2 linked regions of the Schizosaccharomyces pombe genome follow. The gene in region 1 interacts genetically with each later gene. Each region holds a gene or a part of one and is shown on either strand. Other genes may lie near its edges. The genes, in order: nap1 and alp31.

Evidence for each region.
Region 2: mutations in nap1 (region 1) and alp31 together harm fitness more than expected from each alone (negative genetic interaction), as found in Schizosaccharomyces pombe (2 studies listed by BioGRID).

What each region holds. Positions count from the first base shown.
Region 1 is NC_003421.2:472,800-477,685, forward strand, and holds nap1 (histone H2A-H2B chaperone Nap1), read right to left. Parts: upstream 2,863-4,886; 5' UTR 2,773-2,862; coding exon 1,591-2,772; 3' UTR 799-1,590; downstream 1-798. Other genes in the region: GTPase regulator Vps3, read right to left, coding at 3,247-4,886.
Region 2 is NC_003424.3:3,375,294-3,378,811, forward strand, and holds alp31 (tubulin-specific chaperone cofactor A Alp31), read left to right. Parts: upstream 1-1,812; 5' UTR 1,813-1,854; coding exon 1,855-1,923; intron 1,924-1,986; coding exon 1,987-2,073; intron 2,074-2,225; coding exon 2,226-2,429; 3' UTR 2,430-2,607; coding exon of another isoform or gene 2,608-2,665; 3' UTR 2,666-2,710; coding exon of another isoform or gene 2,711-2,728; 3' UTR 2,729-2,775; downstream 2,776-3,518. Other genes in the region: SPOM_SPAC8E11.08C (uncharacterized protein), read left to right, coding at 223-525; SPOM_SPAC8E11.06 (uncharacterized protein), read right to left, coding at 2,608-2,665, 2,711-2,728, 2,776-2,801; SPOM_SPAC8E11.05C (uncharacterized protein), read left to right, coding at 2,979-3,518. UniProt on the Schizosaccharomyces pombe protein: Required for the maintenance of microtubule structures and cell polarity. Beta-tubulin-folding protein; may have a regulatory role in the tubulin-folding pathway.

The sequences.
Region 1 (4,886 bases):
TATCCCAACTAATTTATTTATTTATTCTTTCTTTCTTTTTTATTTACTATAACTTGTGTGTTTTCCCTACTTTAAAATTATTTGTTTCCTTTAGTAGTAGCTAGCTGGATTTTATTTCTTTGTACCTTTGATAGATCATTTGTAGAATCCATTTTATTAAAACTTACGAGGAAAAATAATAAATCAAACAAATCTGATATATCACATGAGCTTAGTTAAATTTGAATTGACTTTCAGTGTTTTGAGTCCACCAAATTGCTGCAACAATATTATACAACTAAACGCATTCCATCAAATTGGACGCTGTTTTATTTAGGACCTTTGCATTATATACTAAAAACATTCTTAAGTTGCAAATGAATATAAAGAATTTTCAATATAAAAATTGCCAAAAATTTTCGACACCAGCAGGATTTGAACCTGCGCGCGGAGACCGCAACAGATTTCTAGTCTGTCCCTTTAACCACTCAGGCATAGTGTCTAAGTCGAAAATTATAAAAGCTATAATATATTTAAGGCAAGTATTAAAATTAAAATATTAGATGTTGTAAGAGATATGTCAAATATGCTTTAAATTTAGACTAAGATAAATTGTAGTATGCAATCCTCCATCCCAATTGTAATCATCTCCATTATTTGATGATTCTAACTTTAAAAAACAAAACTGGTATCTGTTAAACGCTAGACGAACTTACTATAACAACCGAACACTCTTTTACAATGCGCTCCGCATTTTTTTAGTTTCCTTCTTACTCCAAGAATTGCAAGCTTCTTTATGTCTAAAAAAACGAAAAAAAAACAAATCGTATTTTTGATAAACTTTGACACTCATTTCTTTCGAAATAGCCTTTTATGTAAACACATCGGGTTTAGTTATACCTTCCCAACTTCTTGGGTAGAGTAGACTAACTAGGATGCAACCCATTCATACTATGAATTCTCAATTGCTTACTTCTAAGTCAAAACAAAGCATTATTTTCTAGAAAAGCTCGTAAAAAGGGTTCTCTTTTTTAAGCTTTACTAAAGGTCAATTTTTACAGTCAGTGTTTTCAACTTGGTCTAAACTAACAATAAAAAACTATCACTAGTTCTTTTCGCAAGCATTTGATTGAAAAAAAAGGCAAGAAAATATTAAAACGTCCAAGTTTGTCCGAGCGTTTTCATCATGATTGATCAAATATAAGCATTCCAAAATCTTTAAAGGCTTTCGTACTCAAACTAGAAACTCGGAAAATTCGCCAAGAACGATCACACCTCCCATTATGTAGACGATGTCGTTTAGGTCTTTTAAAGCCATTCATCTCAAAACCACCAATTCCAGTAAAAAATAAAACACGTCGACTGTAAGCATTTTTATTTGATAAACGAAAAAAACTCGATAAATTGGAAGATATTTAAAAACTTTATAAACTTGCAGAATCTCGTCCGCAAGCACTCACATGTGGTCCGAACCTATCCTGTACAACAAAAGGTTTACAAATGTTGCATGAAAACCTCAAGAATCATACTTTTCAAGTATCTTTCCTTTAGTCAAAACACAGAAAACCCATTGTTATTAACCCCATAATATATGCACATTATCGAAATTGTTTATTGCTGACGGCACTCAGCAGCGTTTTGCTGGCCATGAGCAGTGTGCTTGCTATCACTGTCCTCCTCATCGGAATCGGAAACTTCTTCGTTAGAAGAGGATTCAACATCATCTTCATCCTCTTCAACATCTAAGTCGCTGAATCCGTCATAGTTTTCAAGAGCTAAAGCCTCACCAGTAAACCACTCAACGGCACGAGGAATGAGTTTCTCTTTGAAGTCCTCACCGATTTGATAGTCAAGTTCCAACAATTCATCCAATTCAGGGCTCTCCGATTCTTCGTCTTCCTCAGATGGAGGAGTTGGGGGATTAAAAAAGTTGAAGAAACTGTCACGAGGAACGGAAACCTTTACGACACGAGTTTGTTTAGTGTTTTTATTGCGTTGCTTTTTAGTAACGGTACGAACAGTCAAATCGGCATTTTCTTTCCAATCAACCTTATCGCCCTCAGCATGATCATACAAGAAAACGTTGGACGGGCCAGATTCCTCCATGTAATAATAAGTTTTGGTGAGAATCTTGTTAGTAAAGAATGGGTTTTCAGCAAATTCAAATTCTAATTTGAAACCAGGCTTTTCCATATAGGAAATGCGAATATCCACAAGGTGACTTAAAGCTCCTTCATCTTCGGGAGTAATCATTTCAGACAAAGACAAAACATTCTTCATAGCGGTCAACCAGAACTCAGGAATACCCTTAGTATCATCACCACCTTCTTGTTTCTTAGACTCAGAAGAAGTAGGTTCTTTCTTTTCGTTCTCATCGGCAGCTTCACCCTTCTTAATTTCCTCCTCGGTAGGTTCGTCAGCGCCACGAACAACCTCAGATCTTCTCTTAAAAATAGGTGCGTACTTCTTTGCATAAGCTTTTTCCAACTCAAACAGCTCTTTTTGGAATTGAGACTCCAAGTCGCTGTATCGCTTTTGCAAACCACGAAGTCCAGAAATCCTTCTTTGCACGGCTTCAGGCAATTCTGAAACTCCTTCTGAAGTGAGATGTAATAAAGAACCCAATTTTCCGTCGATAGCCTCTAAATTCTCATCTCCTTCGTCAATAGTATTTACTTGAGGAGCCTTCGCACCAAAGTTGGGAGCGCTCGTCCCCGATGGGGTGTTATGGGGAGTTGGGGCGGCAGACATTTTTCCGGCCCTTTTGTTATTAATATTAACGTTCTCTACCATATTAATTCTACTTGTTCCAGCAATCAATTATGCTTCAGACGCTTTCCGTACGTCCTTTTAATAACACTGGGAAGGGTAGTGGTAGAAGCTAAGTGTAAGAATATTTGCTGCACCCTGGGAATCTACCTACCCGCGGAACTTCCGAGCTCATCCTCGGGGTTTCCGACCTTAGTGAACAGTGCATCGTTGTGTTACGGACACTTTCTTTATTCCCGAAGGGGGTTTTTAAAAATAAAATTCGATGAATTTAGGCTCATAGTTAATATTATTTATATTTTTAAGACTAGTAAAGATCAGGAAGAGCTGAATTAACTGTAGAAGAAAGCCCTTTATATTCTAACAACATTTTGAAGCTAGAATCTTTTTGTCTCATTGAAATTATTCTATCATTAAATTAAACATCAGTCGAATAAGTATCGAAAATTGAGGTAAAAACTTTGCTGAACCAAAGGTTACTTTTTAAATGTTACTGGGTTAAATTTCGTTTTTGCCCAAGGCTACATTACGACGATTAATAGCCATGAACAACTCTTCCAAATTTTGAGACAACGACTTCTCAAGTGTTAAACGAGTTTGGGATTCATTCAAACGCTCAGCATTTCTTTTTTGCAATATACACAAAAAATCTGCTAATAAGTTAAGATTCCAATGATCTGGAATTTGCTCGCACACGTAGGAAAGCGTATAAGAAAAGGGTCGACGATACAATAGTTCTTTAATAAAATCACTACATCCATCTCCTGTTGATATACATTTTTCGAGCAAATTGCACCAACACTGAGGATAAACATCATCAATTTGAAGACAGTATGCTTCACCGCCCTTATAGTCATGAATATTCGTAACCAAAACGGATAAAGCTTTTTCATAATTCTTCTTCCTTTTGTAAAACGAGTGTTCAAGTTGAGGAAATAGATATAAATTGTCAACATGAATGTCGAACAAAATATCTTTTATTTTATCTATAGATTCTTCTTCAACATTTTCCATCAGATTAATAGAACACAAATAGTAAAATGAAAGATGAGTACTGAAATCACTCATGTCCCCCCAAAGTTGTTCCAAGTATTGGGCATACGTAGGTTTCTCCATGCAAGGAAGCTCCCTAAATGTTTCAATGGCAGTCTCAAGGCGATTTTTAAAATCGTTATGATCCAATAAACTGCCAAGCAACTTATTAACGCACAACTTTAAAAGTAGCGCTCGATGAGTGACGGAATTCGACTTTACAAGGTAATCAATCAAAACATCATCTTGAGAAGAATCCAAATGCTCTAACACGTCCTCTGCAGAAATGGATCCACTAACTGTTTTGTCAAGCAAAACGCGCGTACCCTCCGTTGCATCGTGTTTACAAAGCCATGTAGTAAATTCCCAGAATGTCGAAGGCTCAATATCATTAACCAAATATTCTCGTATTTTAATTAACCCATCGTTGAATCTCCGATCTTCATAATCCCCTGTTATTAATTTCTTCCAAGTTTGAAGAACACCATCGTGATCCCTTACAGTAGCCAATAACACGGAGAGTAAATAATACTCTTTCTTCTGTATCAACACATCTTTTATATCTTCAACACCAGTTAGACCAGACTCTAACAACTCCTTAGCATTTTTGGTACCGGCGGCTAAATCATCCATATTTAAATAAAGGAGTAATAACGAATGCTCTACAGCAAGCATCACGTCTCTTTGCGAAGATAAAAGATACTCAGATATGCTCGTGTTCTTTTTGTAATTTTTCAGATAACGCATCAACATGATGTATGCGTTTTCCTTAGTAATTTCAATCATTTGTCTCTGAGTGTATTGATCAGTATCACGAAACAATTCATTAGATTTTAAAACATTAGCAACAGTATCATCGACGGACAATATGCTTTTGCGAAAACTAATGACACCTTGAAAAGCAATATAGGAAAGCTCCGAATGATAGAGATCTGGATAGAGGGAGATAACTACGCGAGGATCAATTTTGGAAGTTTCAAGCAAAGAGAGAGAATTTTCATACTGTCCTTGCTTCCAATACTGTAATGCCGAGATTTGCTCCAAATAAGCAGATTGAAGATAAGCGACATCATTGGTTATTCCATACTTCTTCGGATTCCGCAATC
Region 2 (3,518 bases), on another chromosome or scaffold:
GAAGATCAACCCAAATCTGAACGAGATGCAATAGCCTGGAGACTACCAGAGTCTTCATTTTACCCGACCGAGATCGTTTCCATGGTCGGAATCGAACACTGGAATACTTGAGACTTGGCGAAAAATGAGTATTATACAAGGGAAGAAAAGAAGAAGAAAATAAAAGGATAATTTATGTTTTACGGCAATAAAATAATGAATTAATAAGCAAGAAGTATTAAAATGGACTTTACCACTAATGAGGTTCTGTTTAGTAGGTTAGTAGTCTGTAAAAATTTGACAAGAAAAAATTTTCCGTTTCTTCAATTGAAGGGGAGCTCCATTTTAAGATTTGAATGGTCTGAAGAAATGTATAGATTGTATATATGGTTGTTACCGTACCGAAAAGACTATAATGAAAAGTTTAAGGGAATTCTAATAAATCCTTCTATTTTTCTTCTTGGCTGTCATCATGTTCAAATATGCAGTTTTCCGAACAACCTTGTATTTTTCATGGGAAAATGCGATTTGTTTCGTTTTTGTTAGCTTTGTTTGAATACCATTTTTTAACTTATGCGATACTTTCTAAACGGAGTTCACTTTTTAAATTAATCTATATCAACTGAGCCGTTCAATTCAATCCCTTTTTTTATATCAGCTTGTAAACAAACGTTTCAGGAAATGAGAAAGTTCAAAAAGCGTTAAACAGTGAATGCTTGTATGTTGAGCTTTGACTTGTTTGCAAATGTTTAATTGTCGAAATTCATCATCTGTATCTGTCCAAAGTTGTGAACTGACAAGATAGAGATTAATTTGTTAGATCACGCAAAGTACGATATGTTTAAAATGCTTATACCAGGTTGCAGTCTTTGTTTTTCATAGCTTTGCAAAAAAAAAAGTGGATTAAAATACTAATGACTACTAGGGTTCGAAAGGTTGCTGTTCGATTATGAAAAAGCGTTCACTCTTTTATCTCCCAAGCGATGATTTGAATTTTTGATGCATCTGTGGCGTAGAATATGATCAATCATTTTAGAAAACAGAATAATATTCAAGGATCCATTTAAAGTCCTATATAGAGTAAAGGATTTTAGCTATTATCCTCACATTGAAGACTGGTCCCATTATACCGAAGTCTGTTGACATTAATATCGTTGTACCGGCTTTTTGAGTAGACTAAATATCTTGTACAGGATCTACTTTGAAAGAGGGTATTAGGTCCTTTTTTTATTTTTTGTTTTCCAAGGATTAAGATAGAAGCTGAATTTTTTTGGCTAGGCAAAGTTGACTAATTATTAACAGACTGTGGTTCGAGTGATTAGCAATCAACCTATCCTTATATGAAATCGTGCTTTTAACAATTTCGGTTGTTGGGAGATAACTGTGTGTACGGAGAATCAGAAATTTTTGTTTTGGAAAATATTTGTAAAAGCAATTACGTCTAAATATAATGAATTACGCGCTAGAAAATTTTCATATAGCTGAATCCCGAAAAGCTCAACCTCCCATATGATTGAGCATCCATAAAAGCATGAAATTTTTGGTACAAGTATCGGTGAATCGTAAATTTAGAAATAACTGAGCAATTTTATCTCATACATAATATAGGAATGAAACGTTTGTCGATCAATAACTAGTCTGATACTTGATGCAAACATTTAATCAAATACCCTTTTTTAGGAATTTAAGGAAAGGGCTTTAAAAGAAATTGAAAACTTAACTAGAACTAGCTTTTCTTAATCGTTTCTCGTAACTTATCACCACACGCTAACATTAGCATTCCTTTGTATTCCAACGTTACCTACACTGCAGTCAAGGAAAATCATCCAACCTAACATTATTCCTTTGCATATCGCGTCCATTTTATTTTCTACCATGTCAAATACTGTTAGGAGCTTAGTCATCAAAACTAATGTCGTTAAAAGAATTATTAAAGATGTAGAAGTAAGTTTCCTTTTTGGATCGCGATTTTGTAGATGGAATTTTCTGACCTCAACAATTGTTTAGTTGGCTCATATCGATATTAACGAGGCCGAGAAACGTGTACAAAGTAAAATTGATAATGGGGAAGATTCTGCAGAAATTGAGCATCAGGTATGTTGCATTAGTTGAAACCATATAAACGTTGGACGTGTTGTGCTAGAAGATGTTTCTACCAAGCTGAAGATACTTTTCGGTGGTTTCCGCTTTAGCGTATCTTTTTTAAAATAAAAAATAATCAAAGTACTGACATTCTGGACCTCTAGAAATTTGTTTTGAAGAAGCATCTTGAGGCGTTGCCAGATGCTCTTGTACGTCTTCGTAATGCGACGAACGACTTGGAATCCATTTCTTCTGACAGTGCATACGAAGGAACTCCTGAACTTGAACAAGCAAATGAATATTTAGAAAAAGCAAAAGAAGTAATTGAAAAAGAGCAAACGAATTTCCCCACGAATGGGTACCACTGAATACACATTTACTAGCTTTTGTAGATCCCTGCTAAAATTTATTACTGACCCTTCAAAAGACGATCATGAAAAGGTTCTACGTTCATCATTCTTTACCCACCCTTTCAATGCTATCCTACTCAACTGTACTGTGTCTTCGATTTTTATTCCAATCCATTAAAATAATAGACAATCCCAACTACTTAAGGATTATCCAAGTCATGCTTAAATCTTTTTTAAGATTTCGCCAATCTATTCTAATTTTGCCAGTTAGGTGAAACTGTTCACATAAAAAAACATACGTATTCCCCTTTATTCTACTAGAGATTTAAATTTTAGCTGGACAATCAAACAATTTTAAAACAACCAAATGTTCCTGCTAACAAGCAGCATAGACAGTCGTCCTCTAGTATTTATTTGCACTTTTATTGTGAGTGTAATGTAGCGTATCACTATGTTAGATTGTACAGCTCATTGTTTGACGTTACTTACCATCTGAGCAAAGAGAAAGAAACACTTCGCGTGAACATTAAACAGATTGGGAGCATAAAACGTTCCATTTGTATACCTATGGCAAGTCCGCCAATATTATCAAGGGAATCACCTGTGTTGGGTTTAGAAGAAGAGAAGAAATCTGACGGCGGCAACTCTGAAGTAAATATTGACCCTTCTGCATCTTCATCGTTGAAGGAAGATGTAGATGGCGAAGAGGGAGCTGATACAAAAATAGATCCACACCTTCTTGAAGAAGATGATTTAAATCCTGTAGAGGATTACGATTCTAAAAACCAAAAAGTCGTTGAAGCATCTAAACTTGACCTTGACGCTACATCAACTGTTTGGGCGGAGAGTCTTAGTATTAATAGAGAAGCTAGTATTTCCCAATCAGGCATTGTAGACAATGAAATGGAGAAAAAAGTTGAAGAGGAAGAAGAGTTTGACGAATTTGACGATTTTGGTGAATTTGAACATGATATCCCCATCTGTACATTTATGGGTGATTGGCAAGATGATTTCCAAGATGCTGTCAATTCTGTATTTGGACTACCTGAAACTCCGAAAACAATTGAAGAATCCTCCTTGGATCCGGATCGTATATTGTCTCTTTGG